4 linked regions of the Drosophila melanogaster genome follow. The protein of the gene in region 4 interacts with the protein of the main gene of each other region in a pairwise test. Each region holds a gene or a part of one and is shown on either strand. Other genes may lie near its edges. The genes, in order: Urm1, azot, Crk and Fer3HCH.

Region 1 (4,933 bases), on a different chromosome or scaffold from region 4:
ATTAATAATGTTATTTAATTTCATAAATTAATAAGGCCATTAAAACACGCGCCGCGACCAAAAAGGTAAATGAGCAAATTAAACAAATTGCCAACTGCAATTGAAAATCACATCAATCAGGCAGCTGGATCTCAATGGTATGATGGCATATTTATGGACCAGATAGCTGGATAGAGTGGGTGGCCTCCTGGGGATAGTGGCATAAAAAGGTCGCCAACAAAGCATAAAAATAAATTGATATCACAGCGAATTTGAATGAGCAATATGGTGTTCCTGCTATTTTTCCTGCCCTGCCACTCCTTCGTTCATATATCAGCGCTCCTTTTTTTTTGCATTGAATTATTTTGCCCGCTGCATGTGAAATTTTGACCAAACAATTGCAAAGCAGCAGATACACTTAAAGAAGATGTTTGAGTAACAGAAAATGATTAGATCTTAAAAATATGCTGCAATATATGTAGATTGCACTGAATTCCAATATGTTGCTTTTCGCGTTATAGCCTTAAACTCCTTCTTACTTAAAAACCATTTAACTTCCTGTAAAGATTTTTATCTGTGTAATCATAGTCGTGGAATGAATATGATGCATGAAATAACAATAATGAAATGACAACAAAAGGCACGGATAACAAAAGGATTGCCAGCGAGAAAGAGACAGAAGCACGGATGATGGATAGAGAGGCAGATATGGAGCCACATGACTGGGGCAATTCAAAATCAAATGTGATTTTTGGTCACTTTGAAAATTGTTGATTAGTGACGCCTGAATGCAGCCCAATGAAACCGGAGGCCGCTGCATTAAAGCAATTTCAAGATCTCCGCCCGCCTGTCACTCAACTGCCGGAATCGAAAGGGGTACTACCCTGGGAAATGGGTTAGAGGTTGGTCTGGGATTGGTTGGGATGAGTTGGTCAACTGGACATGGCACTGAAAGTGCAACTCAGCCGGGCGTGCACTTGGCACACTAGTCCCAACAATTGATGGGGTAAAAAAAAATAAAATAAAAAATTAAAACACAAAAATGCCAGAGACCTCTGCGTAACCATAACCTCGGTGCGCACGGCTGTGTGTGGGCGATTCCATTTAAACAATTAAAGCAACATAAATTAAAAATGTGGTCAAGCGCCGGTCACCACCAACAGCGACAAATTGCATGTTCTAGTGGTAACTAGAGCCACATCTGCCACGCCCCCACATCAGTGCCATTAATTCGAGCATATTAATTCGTATCCACATGCCACTCTTCCTTGTGTGTTTTTGGTTTTGGCATAATACCGCAAACGGGAAGCTCCCCCACTCACTTTTCTTGTTAATCAATTACAAACTGCAGTACGTACTCAATATTTGCCGAATTACTAGCTCTATTGTTCCGAATTGGTTGGAAAATCATTGGGAAATACAATCGAATTTTTTGGCAGCAATATCCTAAAGTAGGTCAACACTTTGAATAATATTTGCAAACGCCTTTCCTACCGTTTTAAGCGTGAGTGTAAGTGAATTTTAATCGATGTATAAGTGTTAAATAATCAGCTCCTAATTGGTAAGTACAAGTGTAATTATTATTAATTTTTATTTTTGTATTTTTTAAAGAGAATCTTATCTTATAAGATTGTAATATTGGTCGGTTTAATGTAAATTAATTTTAGCTTAGAAATGTTAGAATTTTAGGATTTTAAATTTTTAATATTTGTTTTTAGTATCAATAAGTAAAAATAGTCAGTATCGATTTAAATTTCCGTTGTCAGTGCAATGTTGCCGTTTCCTGTTTCGGTATTCAAAAGGAGAGTTGGTATATTTTGAATAGACGTATCGTTTCTGGATTCTTTTAGCGCCCAAGTGTGGGCCACACTGCAACTCGTGTTATTTAACGTTCGGCAAAAACAGCTGTTTATTTCTACTGAAATAAGTAAATTACACCATGTTAGGCCTGCGAGCGATGCTGCCAAAAGGGAAACACTTTGCTGTTGTCCTGGGAAATGTCAGCCGTCAGATTACCCTGCCCCACAACTGCAGATGCATTACTAGTGCCTCATGGACAAGACCACAGCAGTCACAACCACAGAACTTCCAGCAAAACAGGTGGCTTTCGGTGAAGTCGACGAAAACTGAATCCGACGATGCACTGCAGCGGATCTACTATGGAACTCTTGCGCCACGCATGAAAATGGTCAAGTTCTTTTCGCTGAGCACCAGCTTAGCCGGCTTGGCCGCCCAGCCCATTCTTCTCGAGCAGGGAATGAAAATCGGAGGAACTGGAATGGCCGTATTCCTCTGCACCGTCGGTGGATTCTTCACCTTTGTGACTCCTCTGCTGCTGCACTTTATTACCAAGAAATACGTGACGGAGCTGCACTACAATCCACTAACGGAGGAGTACACGGCCACCACAATATCCCTGCTTCTGCAAAAAATCAAGGTGGGTAGAGCAAATTTAAAAGAGCTTGCCTTCAATGTACATATTATTTACCTTTTAGACTACTTTCCGACCAAATGATGTGGTCGTTCCGGAGGTTCCCGGCATGTTCACCTCTTTTCTGGTCAACAAACGACCTCTGTTTGTGGATCCAGCGCTTTTCGATGATCCCGAGCACTATGTTAAGATAATGGGTTACGACAAACCGATCGATTTCAAACTGGATCTGACTCCGAATCCTGAAAAGTCGAAAACGAGCGAGGAGAAGCAATAAAAAAAACGCTCTTTATGATAACGTGTTTTTTTTAATTTCATAAATTCACAACGAAATGTAAAATGTCTTCTTAGAGCACAGATCATAATATGCTAATGAAAACTTTACCTAGCGTTCCATTGGAATGCCACCTGTTTATGTTTCTCAATGGGAATAATTATAATGCTGAGTCCCCTCGTCGAAGGTGAATGGTAAAGGTAAATTTACGTACAAATTATAATTTCTTTCAAAATGCAATAATTTTTGGAAGTTTAGAGCATGTGGTTGCCAGACTTTTTAGAAATTAGGATTCTATATTTGGTATTATTTTTGAATGGTGGATTTTTTTGAAAAGCTTAGACGCGGTCACACATTTATTTACATCGAACATATGATGGGCACGCCGGAATTAAAAATCATATTAGAATTCAGGTATATAAAGCCTTGTTCGAATTATTATTTCCAATAAATGAGACAATTTGTAATTTAATTTCGTAGTGCAGGGGCGGAGTTACTATTTGGTAACATAAAACGCCGTGAATTGAACTTGGACGGTAAACAAAAATGTATGTTCTAAAAGATGTTTTAAACTTGAGTGAAATCGGTTATGAATTATATATATTTTAAAGGGACTATTGCTAATCTGCTTAAGTGGATGCATGCGAATATTTTAACGGAGCGTCCGGAACTTTTTCTTCAAGGAGATACTGTGTAAGTTTGGCTTAAACTATAAGGGATACATAGTCTATACTTTCTATTGTATGTTTTCAGGCGACCTGGAATTTTAGTACTCATAAATGATACAGACTGGGAATTGCTGGTAAGTAAGAGTACAGAATATGGAATTCTAAAAACTATAATTAACTCAACTTCTAGGGTGAACTGGACTACGAGCTGCAGCCCAACGACAATGTGTTGTTTATATCAACTTTACACGGTGGTTAAAAAACGTTCTGGAATCTAAATTATAGGAGAAAAGTTTATTTTTATACTACAACCCATTAAATTGTATTCAAAAAACAAACAAAAACAGTTTTTGACTGAATCAGAATTACGTCCCTTTACCAGAGGCAAAGGCCCACACGATGGTTCGGGTAGTAAAGTTTTCATCATATCATCTAGAGATTGTAAGCTAGCAGGTTTTCGCTATTTATAAAAGCACAGCATTGAACAAGCACTTGGGAATTGTAGGGAAGTTAAAAATAGAACAATCCAGATGCGGTTTGGCGGGTAATTCGAAGTAAGGACAACACGTTAGTTTTACATTGAAGCAACATTTATTGAATTTAAATTTTCGCTTAAAATTATTTATCGAGTTATTATGAAGTATAGATATATTTTTTTAATGTTCGTTTACGATTATTTTAACTATAGGCACTTAGGTTACATATCAACTAACTGTACGTAATGAAGTTCGATTCAGATATGTTGGGCATCGGCCACGCCCCTTTTTCGGGTGCTGCTCATGGCTCCCATCGATTTCTGTGTGTGTGTGGTGCGGATCGTTCGATTGTGTGGACTAAGAACTAGATATGTATGAAACTTGCTTCGACATTGACACGCTGAATTCAATAATTTCGACTGATTTTTCCGATAAACAAGGCAAAACGAAAAGCAGCGACTATGACAAATTAACGAAAACTAAAAATGTAATAAATAATAAATAACAAAAATAATGAAATAAAATTAGCGATCGAACGTAATACGATGATACTACATGGGATCCGATGAAACCGTTCTGCTAAAGCTATTAATGGGGATTTATACTATATCTAGATGCGATGCTCCAGGAGCTCCTCTATTTGCCGCTTTCCGGACTGGCGGACTCCGCTGCGTGGGCGTAGGATCGATATCGCCGCAGGATTACCGTGGATGCACTCGTCGTTGAAGCTCCGGATGCTCCAGTCGTTGATGTGGACCAACTGCTTCGGCTGCTCTCCGCCGCCGATTGTTCCTGATCCGGGGTAACGCACATGTCCGAGACAATGCCGCTCTCTGAATGGGGGGATATTTACACATATTGGATATTATATTTCGGATTCGAACAGGTGGCGCCAAAGCGCCAACAACATATAACATGGATCTAAAAACATGCAGCACACGGACAGGCACGGATTACGGGTTAGGTTTTGGTGTTTGTGTTGGTGTTGGTGGGGGATTATATACAGTAATACTGGGGTGTTCTTCGAGATTATGTACAGGGATCAACTACTAGCTACGGGATGCATCTGGGGGCCTAGAAGAAGTAGCACAGTTCAAGCTCTATA
Region 2 (4,595 bases), on a different chromosome or scaffold from region 4:
GGGATTGAATACAACAATTCGAATCAAAACTGTGGGTATACGAAACTCATATATAAGTCGAGCAGAAATTTATTTAGTCAATTAGCCAATTATGGAGTATTGCTGGGAAATAAGCTGAATGTTTTCTTTTTTTTTTTTCTAATTTCAAATTATAATGCTGCCCCATTTGTGACAATTTGTGTCAACTTTCTTAATGGACGACACTAATCAATGACTTAAATTACAGCGAGGAGCGCGGGCTTTATCAATGCGCTTGCACAGCGATTACTCGTATTCCATATTTACCTGTGTGAGGAGTAAACAGGCGCTATTGATTGCCTATAGCCATCGGTTCAATGTCGCACCGCCACTCACATGCAGAGCAATGCAATTAAACTGTAGCTGAACGATAACCTATTTAAATTATCCATATGAAGCGCTAGAAACATATGAACGTCGGAATGACCTCTCGACTTTTGATTAACATTAATAAGTCCGTGGGTTAACTGTAAGTGGATGTAAAATAAAGAAGCTAATGTTTTAATTTTTCAATTAAGCATAATTAAGTATTTTTGGGGTTATTGTGGGTATTTACCTTTTACAAATAGGATTAGCAATGACGAAATCGTGAAATCTTTCCGAGTAATGCATCCCAGCCCCGAAATATTTCTCCGAATTCGGCATCAATTATTCTTTCTCTATACATGATTTTCTTTTATATATGTTCTGAAATCCATGCACGAAGGCGCATTCAAATTTATAAACCTTTCCCCCTTACAAATTATTAGTCACTAGTCACTTGACAATATTTTATTGCCAAGGTGGGCTTTTATAATTGCCGAATGAGTCATGGACAATGTATGTTGTATGCGTATTAAGGGTGCCAATAGATAACAAGGTAATTTAAAAAGAGCAAGGTGCGATAAGACTTGAACCCAAAATCATGCCACTTGTAAACTTGGTCAGACAAAAAGGAAACCAGCGAGTCCAGTCCAGTCCAGCACATGGTCAAATATTTAAATTGGCATCGTAATCAGCGTGGCTCGATTTTATGATTGCTCTGGCCCATCGCCATCACCCTTTCGAATATCCTGGCACTCCCCAGCGGCCATTAGGCACATGCGACCGTTTCGGAGTCACGCGCCGTGCCACATGGACACACACAAGTGGACTTCTTCGGACAAGGTTTAACAGCCGACTTTCTGGCGCTGCGTTGAGTAAGCCAAAGGAATTTGGTTGGGAATTTCAAGTGGTGCCGCCTAGGCGTAGGGAAAACGCGACTGGGTTGGGCTCTTTCGAAAGGGGTTCGTGGTTAATTTGTGCCTTCAATTTGGAATTCCTAGCTTCGCATGGCGGTAACAAATTCGTTGAAGGAGATCTTTCCATCTTTGTCCTGATCAATGTCCTGGAACAACTCGCGCAAGTCCTCTTCGGACATCTTCTCGCCCAGGTTGGTCATCACCATTCTGATCTCGTTAATTGTAAAGCTGTTCACTTCGCTGCGATCGAAGATTTTGAAGGCCTGCTTTAGGCACACCAGACTGTTCTGCTCCTCCAGCCGTTTGCTCATCACGTATAGAAAGTCCTTGAACTGCACCTGCCCACCGAAGTCGGCGTTACTTTCGTTGGCCAGGTCGTAGATCTCCGCCTCGGTGAGACTCTCTCCAAGGGCCCGCATTACTCCGCCGAGCTGTTGGACGGAAACCCATCCGGACCGTTCCTTGTCATACAAACTGAATGCTTCTCGAATTTCTTCAATCTGGGCCTCGGTCAAACTGCCGCTCATTGTTTCCAAAGTGATTTTCTTTTTTTTTTTTTTTTTTGTAGTGGACTAATGTTTCATGTGCTTTTGTCAGTGTGAACATAAAGAATTTAAACTGAACACAGACAGAACGCCGACTTTTTGTTGGATAGAAATCAAGCCAGCCTTCTATACGAGTACTCACATGGAGGCTATCGCATTGTCATCATGTTGACGAACTCCTCGTAATTCAAGTGATTGTCCTGATCCAAGTCGTACTCGCGTATCATTTCTTCCAACTCGTCGTCGCTGAGCTTTACGCCCAGCGCGGTGAACACATTTTTTAGCTCGGTGGTGGTAATGTAGCCATTGTTATCCTTGTCGAAAATTCGGAAAGCTTCGCGCAGCTCGTCCTCATGGTTGGTGTCGCGCATCTTGCGCAGAATCACATTGCAGAACTCCGGAGCCACGATGGATCCGTTTCCCTCCGAATCCACCTCATTGATCATGGACTGAACCTCGGCGTCGTTGGGCTGGCGACCCAGGGCGCGAATCACCACCGCCATCTCTTTAGATGTTATGGCGCCCTCGTTGTCCTTGTCCAAAATACGGAAAGTGTCAAGGATCAGGACTCGCTCCTCATGCGAAATATCCTCCATCTTAACTGGTATATTATAGTTTCTCGGAAGAGTTGTATATTGCTCTGTTTATATGTAGGTGTCAACTGATGTTTGGATGAAACAAGGTCCTGACATTGAACTCAGTGAAATGTGAAAAATGGTAAAATGAACATCCCCCGGTGGCTTCACTGCGCTGCACAGTGCACAACACCGAATGGCACAAAATCAATATGCTCGTTATATAAGCGCAGTGCCGCACGGACAGAGTTGATTGATTCGAATGTCCTTGGGCGAGGAGGCCTTGCAGCTGATCGGTTTCAATTGCGACCCAGCAACGGACGTCAGCTAGTATCTTTCGTTGTTCGTTAACAAAACAGAAGGAGAGTGCCGTTCGAGGAAAGTTAAGGAGTAAGAATGTGTACAATCACCGTCATTGTTCCAACGCACACTCAAGAAAAAAAAGGCTCATCTTTTCGCTATTCGAAATACAAGAACTCAACAGAAGTTTGCAACGCCAAAATATTTGTGTAGAATGAAAACAACATTAGTGAACTTTTATAGTTCCCGAGATCTCGACGTTCATACGGACGGACAGGCAGACGGAAGGACAGACGGGCTTATCCAGATCGACTAGTGATCTGGATGAATAACTCCTTTAGCTTCACGAGTAACTGGTATAAAAATGTAAATGTAAGATTTTGTTCTTGATTGCTTAAACTTATTCGTAAGTTTTGCTATACATTAAATAATCTATCTATGAATCAGCATACCATACTATTCATACTTAACAAGAGTGTTTTGAGTGTACTGCCATACAAGTGTAGTGGTTGCTATCGGCACAGAAAGGTTGTCATGCGATTTGGGTTTGGCGCCTAGCCTGCAACTTTGGCGGCTGCCTTTTTGCCGCAGGTTAATTCCAGTGCTTCTCCCCCTCGGCCCTTTCACCTGACCGCAGTGGGACACACCTGACACCGGTTTTTGGCTGCCGGAGGAGTGGTAGTGCCCGGGGGGGTGGGCAGAGAATGCGGCACGCTTTACTCTGGCCACAGTCTAAGCAAATAATAGACAAGAATTTGACATCGGCACGAGAGGGTTCCATTGTGCGGCTCATTTGATTTTTGGTTGTGTTTGGGTATTTGTTTGGGCTAGTTTCGGCGAAACAGAGGAAGTGTGCTAGAGGGCCATAATGGAAACATATCTCACATGTGTGTTTCGGAATTGTTCCTATGACGAGGCAAATTCTGGCCATATTTTTTGACCATTAACGCCGCCTGGCCCGACATAAATAATTTTCTAAGAGTGGGGTTCGGGAACCGTATGTCAAAACTTAAATAATAAATCTCTTGTTTATTTCTTGGATAAACCAAAAATATTCATTTATTGCAAATTTAATTTTTTTTCTTGCAGGAAAACCTCCGCGTTGGCTTGGAACGCAAAAAGCTCGAAATAGACCCAAAGTATTTGCTTCTTCTGGGCTTCACCTCGTCAAATGAAGCTACAGGCCAACAGCAGCAGCTGGATCAGCAAAATGTGGTGGACATCGGTTCACCAGGTCAGCAACTGCCAAAGACAGATTTTTCAGCGCCGGCTACAAAAGCGGAACTGGAGCTCAGCGAACTGCGAGGTCTGCGGCGTCCACAGGATGCTGTTACCTTCGGTAGTCAGGCAGGAGATCAAAAGGGGCAGCGGAAGCGGATCACGACGCCGTACAACGGTACAAAGAGCAACTTCACAATCGTCAGCTATGTGCTGGAGGGGCAGGCCGCATCGGCCATCCTGCTGGCCCAGAATATTGCCGCCAAGCTTCCCAGCGAGTACCTGCTAATCTACGATTTGGGCGTTTCCGAGGAGCAACTACGGGATTTGGGCGCCTACTGTAATAACAGCCGATGCTCGGTGATCACCTATGATCTGTCGGAGTTTCCCTCCTTCGTCGCCGATCAGCGGACGCACGCCTACCGGCCCATTGTAATTAAGGACGGTCTTATGCGTGCCCGATCGGTTCTCTTCTTGGAAAACAGCATGCGCGTGCGCGGAGGTTCCGCCCAGCTGCGAAGTCTGCAGAGCATCGTTATGAATCCAGGAGTGGGAAAATCTGCAGTCAAGTCCGCTGGAGTGCTCGGATGGAACACAGCGACGGCGGTATCCTCTCTGACGCATCCAAAAATGTTCGACTACTTTGAGTCGAAAGCTGAGGAGTTTAACTTTCTTCGGATGGTCGACCTGGATGCTGTCTTCTTCTCGGACAGCTCCTT
Region 3 (6,899 bases), on a different chromosome or scaffold from region 4:
ATGAAGCATACAGATTCTAGGAACATAGACAGCACAAGTTTGTTGACCCATGTTGCCATTCCTGATCAGGATCAATAGCCGAGACGATCTGGTCATGTCCGTCTGTCCGTATGAACGTCACGATTACAGGAACTATAAAAGCTAGAAGGATGAGATTCAGCATACAGAATCTAGAAAAGACGCAGCGCAGCGTTGACCCATGTTGCCACGCCCACTCTAACGCCTACAAACCGCGCAAAACTGCCACGCCCGCACTTTTGAAAAAGTGTGTTGATATTCTTTAAATATTTTGATTAGTCTTGTAATTTTCTATCGATTTCCCAAAAAACTTTTTGCCACGGCCACTCTAACGCCCTTCAGCCGCCCAAAAATGCTTTGTCGCCCGTTATCAACGTGGTAGCTAGTGGTTTGCTTAGGACCTCTCGTGTTTAGAAGCATTCTCGGCAGAGAACCAGTAGTAGCGCTGGCCTTTTTGTGGGCGTACTCTAGGTGCTCTCGGAACGTGGTATCAGGAGAAGCACTAACTAACTATTGATCTAAAGATACACATTATTTTAACGTTCCAGGAAGATAGGTCTTGCGTGATAATCCACACGAACGACATGAATGAAATCATATGATGCTGCAAAGTATATGTCATAGTTTTAATACTGCGTTGGTGATGCGTCGGTGATTAAGGATTCGACGTCAAATTAGTTTGGGCAGCTTGTAGAGTTGGTGCCTTAGAGGTAGGTTCTGTTAGCCTCGAATTATGGACGTTTGGAAATATCAAATTTTGGAAGGTGGTCGAAGGGCCAAATAAGGACCTCTTTGCGGGTGATAAAAAAACTTCTGGCGTTCTGGCGTTACTCGGAGATGTATCCGGCTTTTGGGGTCTTTGTATATTGAACAGCCTTTATATGGTCAGAAGCGCTTTCTTCCACCTGTTACATACTTTTCAACGAACCTATTGTAGTATTCCCTTTTACTCTACGAGTAACGGGTATAAAAAATATAAGGCCCAAAGGGTTTTCTGTAGCACCTACCGTTTAGTTACACAATTCATAAAAAAAACCAAATCGATTTTCAAATTCATAATTTTTTTGTATAAGAATCATACGAAAAAACGGTAAAAATTTTATTATGTCCTTCGTACCCGTTTATTTTTATTTTACTTAATAAGATTTTAATTTTCTGATTATGTTAACAATTGGTATGCACAACTTATTAATCATACAATTAGCTCAAAAATCAAAATTATCAAAAGAAATTCCTTCCATTCCTTCCTATTTAGCATATTTCTGTGGAGTTTTTGCTTAAATCACAATCATCGACAAATTCAACGTGCGTGAAGGGAAAATGACCATTTTTTCCATTTAATTCTCCCTCCCATTGCCCATTAATGTTTGTTTTAGTGACTTTAATAATGTCACCTATTTCCAATTTTAATGCAGTCTTATCGTATGCGTTAGGGACCCTTGACTGTTTTACGCGGGCGTATGCAGGTAGTTTTCGCTTCGATAAATTAAAATGTAAAACATTATTTTTTTTTTAAATACTTTTTTGGAACACTTACATTTAAATCTGTCCTTTTAAGAGTACTTTCAAATACATTGCTAGATCCCGAAATGGAAGGTTCGTTTTTATCAATAGCATCTTCATCCATATAATCGTCATACTGAAAAGAACAAATTTGAAAATGATTTAACTTTTAAAAATCAATGCCTTTAACAAACTTATTTATCAAAGGTCGTTCGCAATTTGGCCTTCTCTATTTAAGCGGACGAATATATTGAAGGCAATGGAGCTTGTCCATTGTCAGTTTAATTCAATGCAAATGGTTTTTGTAATGGATTTTATAATGTATTGAGATTGTAGTCAGACTTTAAAGAATCTAATCGCAACAATTTAAGGGTATTATTACATGAACTCAATAATTATTTCTGAACAAGTTTCTCGGCTATCAGATACCCGCTAGTCATAAAATAGGCGTGGGGAAAAGAGCTCAATTTACATTTTTTACATACATACATATATTTTTACATATTTACTTCTGGCGACTCTTTGACATTATTGACCCTTATACGTCTCACTAGTTTTCGGGTTTCTTTCTGATTTTACATTATTAATATCCTAGCGTTAGTGTCGCCGTATCGAAAGTTTTATTTGCATTCCATAAAAATTGACGCGACTGGTTTTACCGAATTCACCATTCATTTCAAGTGTAGTATTTTAACATCAGCGTTATAAGGAAACAAAGAAATTAAAAACGGGTTACCCGTTACAAAAAAGGATAACAAATCCAAATATTTGCTTAACGCACCTGTTGTATATAGGGAACCGGTATTTGACCAATTTTCCCCGAGGAGTTACGCGCAGTCCACCATTGATCCTCGTCTTTTCGAACTATTGTTAAAACTTCACCTCTTTGAAAAGGTAAATCATCTTGATCCTTTGATAAATAAGAAAATTAAATTACTTACAAAAATGAATAATTGTGTAAATGCTCACGCTGCCAACGAAATCGAACTTTCCTATTACTTTTTCCACCCTTCTACACGCAGGCCGTTTTAAAGGGGTTGTATCCAAATAATGAAGAGTGTAAAAAGTTAAGAGTTTCGGTAGATTGTCAAAAGACTGATCCCCAATGCGGTAAACGATTTGATCCTGTTGTTGAACTTTGTTAATGATGTAGTTGCTAACTTTTGTATCTTCTCTAAATAATAAAAATCTTTATAAGTAAACAATTCTTTTATAACAGGCGCAAAATCCTTAAAAACTAAACAAAAATTTGTTTCAAGTTTAAATATGAAAACCTATTTTTAATATTCTAATGTATATACATTTATATTAATAAAGAACTTTTAAAATCAAAAAGAATATTCTTGAGACGTTTATTCATCTAATTCTTTAATAAATGCCGCGTGGCGAGACATACAGTAGAAATTGAGTTCCTTTAATTCGTAATTATTTTTGTTTACGTCGTTAAATTCTTCAATTTATTTACCCCGTCAATACATGGCGCACATATTAAAAACATACTAAATTGCAATGGCTATGAGAGATCATCATTGACATTTTATCATCGTCCTTAAAGGTACATTCCATACTAAATTAAAGAAATACAAAATTGACCATAGACCCTTGCCATTGGATCTAAATATCAAACAAAACAAGAGAGAACCCGTTACTCAGCTAGTTGAATGGGAAAGAGAAATTTCAAAAATTTTCTGGGAAAGAAATAATAAAACAAACACAATTTTTAAGGTTTCCCAAAACTGAAACACACAAAATTGATAAAAATTTTTAGATTTCTCTTTCTTATTACTTTTTTCACCCAGGTCTATTAAAAAGAATATCCTTTTTTAATGTAAGAAATTTGTTTATATTTAAAAATTACAGATAAATGTTTAAAGTACATCTATAAAACACGTATACATGCTTAAAATGGAAACAGGAATTTCTATATAAACCTTTATGGTAAGCTGCGATTAAGAAAGGCTGACATTAAGTATTTCTCACTATACACAATTTTTAGTTTAATTTTTAAAATAAAAATTAGCTAACAGAAATGAAACGATAAGTACACAATCAAAGTCTGAATGTATTAATTTTGTTTACTTACCTTACACAAAGTACATAATCCCCTGCTATCGAGTTACTATCACGGACTAAAAACACTCCCCGCTCGCGTTCGTTCATCAAAACTTCAGTAGCATCCTGTCTAGACATGGGACCAAAGTACCAGCTTTAAGAACACATTTTGATGTTAAAACAATTGATAGTTTTTGGTTTAATCTTCACTTGATCTTAAATTACCTGTTCCTATCAGAAACGTCAAATGTATCCATTTCCGTTTAAGGTTTATCTTAGACAAATTACAACAAATTCCGTCCAGATTAAATAAATAGAAATTATGTGATATAATGCAAATATAGCATACAGCCTATTATATACCAGAATTCTTCAGTGATTTCATTTTCGAATTTCTGGCCTTAAAACATTTGCCTTTTATATGTGTATCTGGCTGGGCCACACATAGAAACACTATCGATAATGTTTGATCGATTATTTCCACTTGGAAGTTTTATGCCAATATTGTACCGTAGAACCGTAATGCGGCACTTGCACAGGGCACATTCGATTGAAAAGAACTCCTTCGAGCAACTGCTCTGTGGTGGTAAACCCCTTTAGGACGTACTGTCAGCTTTTAAAATCTAAATGTAAAACCGTGATCAATGCATATCAATTTGATATTCTAATTTTTAAGTAAAACCGATATATTTGTTCTTCTGTTCAATTCAAGGATATTTACAGGAATATTAGGAATACGAATATATCTGGTTGACATGTTATTTTGACTCCACAACTGATCAGCTGTCAATCGTAGAAAATCCGCATATGTTGCTAAGATCGGCAGCTAAATAAGATTTGGAGCAATCCGATCAATCCGCTGTGGAGGGAGCCCACCCTGGGATTGCTAAAGATTCCGAATTGTCTGCACTGGTTTCTTAACCAGTGATTCTACCTGTCCCGATTAGTTTACCACCACAAGGGAACATTGAGTCCGGACTCCCGGCACAAGTTGGCACTTCAGAAATACAATCTGCAGGGCCAAAACCACTCGCGGTGATTCCACTTAAGAAACAAACTTTCGTTTCTCGGTTTTCACCTGATCAAAAATCATCTGATGTATGGTCTTATATGCAAGACAAAACAAAAGTCGATAATATAAAAGTAATATAAAAGTGGAAAAATTTAACTTATCTTACGCTATGGACATAAGATATATAAGATTTTGAAGCTAGGATCAAAAATAGGAAAAAGGGGCCCGTGGGAAATAAACTTTCCTCACATGGCCAGACCACTGCACCATCCGCCTCTTCATCTTCTTCAAAAAACTGACAACGAATCTTTGTCCGAATCTTTTTCCTATCAAAATGCTAGAGGTTTGCGTAGCATACTAATCAAATTATATTGTAATAGCCATTCCTTTGCATGCTCAAGATATGACCAAAGCAAAGACACTAGAATAATTCTAGTGTCTATGATATGACTTTTGCAATAAACAGTTTACATATTTTTTTTATTTTTATATATTTTTGTTTTCTACTTCGTATTATTTTTATGAAATATTTATTTCTCAATGTAATGTCTTCTTTTTGGAAAATGTATGTTTTAAATTAAAGTTGTTATAATAATTTCCGTATATATTTAGTATATTTCTCAAGTCATTTGACTTAATATGATGTATGTAAAATTTTTGTTATTTAAAATGCACATTAGATTTAGTTGTTTTTCAGTTCCAGTTTTTTTTTTTTTTTTTTTTTTTGTTATATTTCAATTTGATATTTTTAACAGCGCGCAATTTCATCAAATATGTAAACTCGTTTCTTCGGTCAGAATTGATTTCGGCCCGAAATCGTCTTCTAGAACAACACGCACACATATACGCGTTCTCGTCTCTTGTTTTTACTTACTCAAGCAAGCAAGTTCTATTTTAAGATTTCTTACGCTCTCAGCGTAAGCTAGCGGACAGAGAGCAATTTTGGCCGTCACCAAAAAAGTGGCTGCATAGTGCCAAACCAAAGACACTAGAATAACAAGATGCGTAACGGCCATACATTGGTTTGGCACTATGCAGCCACTTTTTTGGTGACGGCCAAAATTACTCTCTTTCGGCTCACTCCCGCTGAGAGCGTAAGAAATCTAAAAATATAATTTGCTTGCTTGTGTGAGTAAAAACAAGAGACGAGAACGCGTATAAGTGTGCGTGTTGTGCTAGAAGACGATTTTCGGGCCGAAATCAATTCTGATCGAAGAAACGAATTTACATGGTACATATTAGGGTAGTTTTTGCCAATTTCCTAGCAATATGATAAAATAAAAAAATTTTTAAAAATTCGCGCCCTGAATATTATAATTTTAAAGCTTTTTAAATTTGTTTGTTAAAATCGCCGCTCGAATTAGCTACCGTTTACACATTTATATTTATGTTTAATTCTAATTTGTCTCTCATCTGACAATTTTTTAAAAGCGAAATATTTTTTTTGAAACACTTTTAATGTTAATGTTACATCATATTAAGTCAAATGATTTAATAAATATACTAAATAATTAAATATGCAATTAAATTAAATTGCAAAAGTAATATCAAAGACAATAGAATTATTCTAGTGTCTTTGCTTTGTTCATATCTTGAGGCACGAAGTGCGGACACAAGCACTCAACAATTGCCTTATTAATTTTTCACACACCGCAAGATGAATACTCTAATGACAAATATTCTTATATAAAGTCATTTTTGAAATTTATTTTTGTGATAATATGTACATAGATTTGACTATTTCTAATCTATTTTCAAATAATAATAACGTTAAGGCAATGCAAAACAAGAATTTTTCGCATGGTGCCAATTGATCAAAAATAATATAGATTTAAAGCCAAAGAACTTCTAAGGTGAAGGGCATATTTTGTCAAATTTACAATGCATGTGAATACGTGTGCACACATATAGATGTCTGCTATCACTTTGTGCGTTGAAAAGAGCTGTTCGCTGTAGCGCTCTTCGCTCTCTCGCTCTCTAACAAAAATTCGAGAGAGCCTGGAGCCACCTCTAGAGCCACGGCCAAAAAATCGTGTGCCAAAAAATCGTATGGCGTTACGCATCTTGTTATTCTAGGGTCTTTGGCCAAACCAATGTATGGCCGTTACGCATCTTGTCATTGTAGTGTCTTTGGTATGACCGTCCCTCCAGACGGGGAGGTGGAGTCTTAATTGCGGTTAGATCTATTCTCGCGTCGGAAGAGTTACTTTTGGGCGATCCCCGTAACTCGGAATTCTTATGTGTAAAGCTGTAATTTTCCGACAGTTCAGTTTATATTACGTGCTCGTATATTCCGCCATCTTCTGAATTCCCA
Region 4 (5,110 bases):
TCTGCAAGTTTTTACTGATTGATTTTAGTTTTAAGCTTGACTTGATTCATTAACTCAGCCATTCAATTTAAGTGATCAATTAGTTGTTGAACTGCCGGTACCATTATAAATGATTCAATTGCTACACTATTTAATTGCAATTGAATTATTTAATCATTTTATTCTATTAGATGCTCTCAAAACGAGTTTAGTACGCAATTTTGTTGTTCTATCAGATATTTTCCTATTACTTTGGCAATGTATCTTTTTGCAACAAATTACTTTCGGCTTACAAGTTCTTATTTACAATTGAAATTTTGTCATTCGATTGAAGACGTCACGGAATCGCATTGAAAATCAATTATTTAAATTAACAACGGATCGGCTATTGGTTACCCCACGGTAATTGTTTCAATTATCAATCGAATCGCAAGTGGCTTTTAATTACACGTTCGTTGTTTTTATAGCACAAATGAACGGCTCTCAGGGTGTATCGATAACTCGAGTAATGTCTAACAGCATTACCTCCACTCAAAATTGATGTGATTTAGTAACTAAAAAGACGATATAATAATACACATGCTATCCACATAAGTGTACAAGGGTGTAACTTAAGACTCAATTCAAAATTAAACGATTTATAATGCAAGTCATTAAGATCTTTAAGATCTAAACTAGGGCTTATATTGATAGATCTAAAAGGCGACACCTTTGCATCGTCACAAGTGACATACAGAGACATATGTTATGGCATACGGATCAGGTACATATATACAGATATATATATATATAGCATATGGGCAGCTGGCAATCTCGTCTCTCTAGGCTTTTCACATTTCCAGCTGCAAATTGTATTGGATTGGACAGAAATCTTAATTGGGACAAGTACGCCGTCGACCAGACACCGAGTTTTTCTAACGCCCGCCCGCCGGGGGAGGATTACTACTACTACAGATCATCTCGTCTGGTCTGGTCTAGTCCGCAGCTTATGGCAATTTATTGGGGCCGCATCTGTATCGCACTGTATGTATGTACAGTCTGCCTTCGTATAAATGCCTCCGAACCTCAGACTTTAGACCGGAAATGCGACGCGCTTTTCAATTAAAGCCCCGCCAAGATCTTACCATTCAGTTCAGCATTCAGTTCTGAATGAACGATCCCTACGATCTGGATGAGTTTGTTGGTCAATGTGGGAATGCCCCCACAAACTTCCAGAGGGGTTCATGATTTCGGAAATTAGATCAGGGAAAATTTAATTTGATTTAGAACGAAGTTTCGCAATTCTGTACTTATTTCATATTATATTCTATGTAACTAAATGAATGAGTTACTATATTTGTCGTGTCTTGCCGACTTTCACGATCTCAATCTATATAGATATAGATAACCTATTAATACGTCACAAATGCTTATCATATAGACCAACTGCTTCATCATCAAGTTCCAAGTGTTTTATTATATAATGGGTAGAACAAGCGTAGTTAAATGTCAGGCTTCTTTTAACTTTTATCTTTATAGATTCGAGATTATCAACTGTTATCATATATATAACAGAAATATTGTGTCATTTGATTAGAAACGTATTTACAGAACTGGATAAAGCAGATGAGTTACTATCCAATACCATCAACACTGTGGTCCAACTAAAGGGTTATCAGATGGGTTTAGCTGTTGATTTCGTGAAGCTTTGTTTTTGGACTCAGTTTCGGTGTCGATTTCAATTAGAATCTTGCGCAACTCTTGGAGCCGATAAGCGAGTATATTTATAGAGTTAGTTTTACGCCAGCCACTTGATAATGTGGCAGCAAAAAAAAAAAAAAAAAAACAATTGATCGGCCAAAAAACGAATCTTTACTGAACACACATGGGTTTGCCAATTATAATACGTATTCTTCATCGGATGGTTGTCCATTTTGAGGTATTCATTTCGCAGGATGCATGCCGCTGCCCATATACTTGTCGAACAGGAATTCGCCCACCTGGTTTTGTGCCTTCTCCAATTGGCTAATATAGTCGGCCAGAATCTTCTGGCCATCCACTTGCTCCTGCAGGAAATTGGCCTCGATGAAATCGCAGAGATTCGGATCCGCTTCCTTGCCAGCCAGGGCGTGCAAATCGAGCAGATGCTTATTGACCTCCAGTTCCATTTTCATTGCGTGCTTTAGTGCATCCAAGGTGCTGGCGAAACAGGGCAACGGCTGTGGTACACTGCTCAAAATGATTAGACCACCACGCTTGTTCATGTACGTCATGATCTTCTCCGCGTGCTCCCGCTCCTCGACGCTCGCCTTTAGGAAGAATCGATGCATTCCGGGTGAACTGATATCGGAGCGATCGAAATGGTAGGCCTACGTGTATTGAACGTACTATATGCATATATATATATTCCCTATTGACTGCGGAACCTTACCATGGCCAGATACTGGTGGGATGCCTTCAACTCCATGTTGATCTGATCGTTTAGCTTCTTCTCGCAACTTTTGGCGAAGTTCTGACGCACCAGCATGCACATGTGGCGCCGAATGTCGCGGAAGCACCACGCCATGTCTTTTGCTTCTTTTTGAGTTTTTTTCTATCTTTTTTTTTTTTTTTTGTTTTTGAAAATTTAGAAACCTATACAATTTGGAATTGAAAGTCAAAACACAAACAGTGTGTCTAAAAGGCAACTGGGTCGGTTCGGACAGGTGTCGATGGATCGGATACGATCCATCTAAGTTCGTCCATTGATCTCATCTCCAAATATCCAGATCTTCACATCTCCGCATCGATCTCCGATCTCGCGATCTGGAGGAGGTGTTGATCCACCGTTCGGACGGCCAAAAAACAACGGGTTGGAGTTCAAAGTGCTGCCGGCTCTGATTTCACTTAACTTCCACTTAGCAATAGTGTGTACACAATCTCTCACTCGGTTTGTTCGCATCTATATACGTTCGTACGTATAGCTTATAGATACAGATACATATGTATATATGTACATATATAGTTAAATATCTGTGTCCAGATATGTTTGCTTTAACTTCAACAAGTACACACGAACACGGACACACTAAGTAAACGCAGTTATTGTCTTTTATTAAGTGAATGGAAGACGACTTTTGTCCGAGTTTTGTATAATCGTGTTATACCCTTTCTCATAGGGTATTTGAACGCTTTTCCCAAAATATTGCTGATACAGAAAATTGCGACAGCCAATGCAAGTTAAAATAAGAAATTTAATTTATTAAAGGATAGAAAACATAATATTATATTTTGTATTTCAAATGAAATGCTTTCGTAGGCGAGTTCAACGCGTCTTACAGGTTTAGGGTATTGAAAATGTAAAGATCTCCCAAGCCGAGGTTTCCAAACATTTCCTATAAACATCCAGGTGGTCAAAACTACTCGCACTTTACTACAAACATCCACTCATTACGCACATTTAAAAAACCAACAAAGCAATGGTGACTCTTGAAGCCATGTGCGCCCCATAAAAAGGCAATAATAAAGATATAAATGGTTCATTTTCACCGACACACAGGAAAACGAACCGAGAAAAAAAACACATAGGAGTTATGCAAATCATCGTTGAACTGGACAATAACAACCCAAATAAAAAATAGCAAACATTTTTAGATGAGTCTTTACGTTTTTTTTTTTCAAGCATTATGAAACAATTTTCCCTATGATTGTGATTAAATAATATATACACTTATTAAGTGAACGATGACATATGATCTTGTGTGTTTATAGAGGCAATTAACATGTTTAGTTCATTATGCAACAGTCGCAATAAAAATGAAAATTATTATCTTATTCAATATTTAAGGGTCAAATGGAAAGGCTTTTGAACACAGAAAAATTTCTAGAATTTTGTAGAAGATTTTACAGGCATTAAAGTTCTATAATTACTTAAGCATATTGAATTTCAACAAAATCCACATCGGAACTCAGTTAAATTTCAAATTCCACTCCCGTAATGCCAACAAGATTTTAATTTGGACAAGTGTGACAGCTTCAGCGACACATTTACATCACCTCCAAAATAATGGCAACAATCCAGTTTGCAGTGTCATAAAAACGTGCAACAAATTATTAACATTAAATTAAGCTGCGGAGTCACAAAAAAATTTTTATATACATTCGACGTGTTAACACAAAACTCAAACGTCAGCATATGAGGTAAAAAAAAAAAAACAAAATCCAACATAATTTGCTGAACATGAGGTCGAAAATAGCGTACGGCATACGAAAATATTTAATCGATTTGAGCTATTGTCGGCATGATACTCTTTCAAAGAGCATACAAACTTGTTCCAAAAATTAAACTATATATTAAAAAAATATTCAATTGTATGTATATAATTAAGTGTTATAAATGTGTACCATCTTAATTTTGGTATAAATATAAGCTGCTAAAATATCTATTACATCTTAAGGGGTATTCCCGTCTCGACTATTTCAGAATATCACGTATTTCTTTGCGCACATTGTTCAATTCAATAAATTGTGGCTTCGATCGCCGTCGCCAACATACGAATAATTTACAATACATACGAACGGTGTATCAGTTAACATTCATTTACTTTTGCTGCTGGTCATAATTTCCAATGCGTTTATTTATTTAAATTTTAATTTACAAGCACCCGATCGTCTGGAATTTACAGTCAGTCGCAGTGCATGCAAAACTGTGAAATACGATCGTTAAACGGGGAAATGAGTGCGGGAAAATTTGAGAACTTTCCACAAGGCATAAGACTAGTGTAAATAAAATTCAAAGGGTTGGCGGAACAATTCAAATCGAAGTAATATATATGTACATAAAAACTGTTCGAAAATCAATGCAAAATCGAATTGGTCATTTATAGGCATTGTGGAATGGGTCATTGCACTTTAAGCAACATGTGAAACAAATGTTCGGTGCTAATTACAGTGACCGCTTGGAAAGTATAACTTGTTGATTGGGCGGTTTCTAAGGGGAAACTAGAAGTCTCATTATGGGGAACACGTGTTGTGCCCAGGAAGTGAAGAGGTTTTCATTTTGGATCTAATCCTTCGAATATCCATACGTTCTAGTTTTTAGTATTGCATGTTGCTTGAATGCTGCATCTGGAACAAAACGTATGTTTTCAGAGAGATCTGAAACAGTCTAATG

The links.
Region 1: the proteins of Fer3HCH (region 4) and Urm1 interact in a two-hybrid assay, tested with the Drosophila melanogaster proteins (one large-scale study listed by BioGRID).
Region 2: the proteins of Fer3HCH (region 4) and azot interact in a two-hybrid assay, tested with the Drosophila melanogaster proteins (one large-scale study listed by BioGRID).
Region 3: the proteins of Fer3HCH (region 4) and Crk interact in a two-hybrid assay, tested with the Drosophila melanogaster proteins (one large-scale study listed by BioGRID).

What each region holds. Positions count from the first base shown.
Region 1 is NT_037436.4:7,638,569-7,643,501, reverse strand, and holds Urm1 (Ubiquitin-related modifier 1), read left to right. Parts: upstream 1-3,055; 5' UTR 3,056-3,060; coding exon 3,061-3,098; intron 3,099-3,164; coding exon 3,165-3,232; intron 3,233-3,295; coding exon 3,296-3,377; intron 3,378-3,437; coding exon 3,438-3,486; intron 3,487-3,542; coding exon 3,543-3,611; 3' UTR 3,612-3,691; downstream 3,692-4,933. Other genes in the region: CG7506 (uncharacterized protein), read left to right, coding at 1,919-2,416, 2,475-2,687; Pura (Puratrophin-1-like), read right to left, coding at 4,465-4,661.
Region 2 is NT_033778.4:7,947,673-7,952,267, reverse strand, and holds azot (ahuizotl), read right to left. Parts: upstream 2,430-4,595; 5' UTR 2,380-2,429; coding exon 1,933-2,379; 3' UTR 1,803-1,932; downstream 1-1,802. Other genes in the region: CG30378 (uncharacterized protein), read right to left, coding at 1,319-1,765; CG14764 (uncharacterized protein), read left to right, coding at 3,748-4,595.
Region 3 is NC_004353.4:207,386-214,284, reverse strand, and holds Crk (Crk oncogene), read right to left. Parts: upstream 4,062-6,899; 5' UTR 3,923-4,061; exon of another isoform or gene 3,848-3,922; 5' UTR 3,831-3,847; coding exon 3,799-3,830; intron 3,728-3,798; coding exon 3,605-3,727; intron 2,696-3,604; coding exon 2,491-2,695; intron 2,432-2,490; coding exon 2,303-2,431; intron 2,171-2,302; coding exon of another isoform or gene 2,105-2,170; exon of another isoform or gene 2,011-2,104; intron 1,658-2,010; coding exon 1,556-1,657; intron 1,495-1,555; coding exon 1,270-1,494; 3' UTR 1,120-1,269; downstream 1-1,119. UniProt on the Drosophila melanogaster protein: Adapter protein which interacts with C-terminal portion of mbc, homolog of human DOCK180. May play a role in cellular processes throughout development.
Region 4 is NC_004354.4:13,105,573-13,110,682, forward strand, and holds Fer3HCH (ferritin 3 heavy chain homologue), read right to left. Parts: upstream 2,623-5,110; 5' UTR 2,525-2,622; coding exon 2,390-2,524; intron 2,328-2,389; coding exon 1,902-2,327; 3' UTR 1,810-1,901; downstream 1-1,809.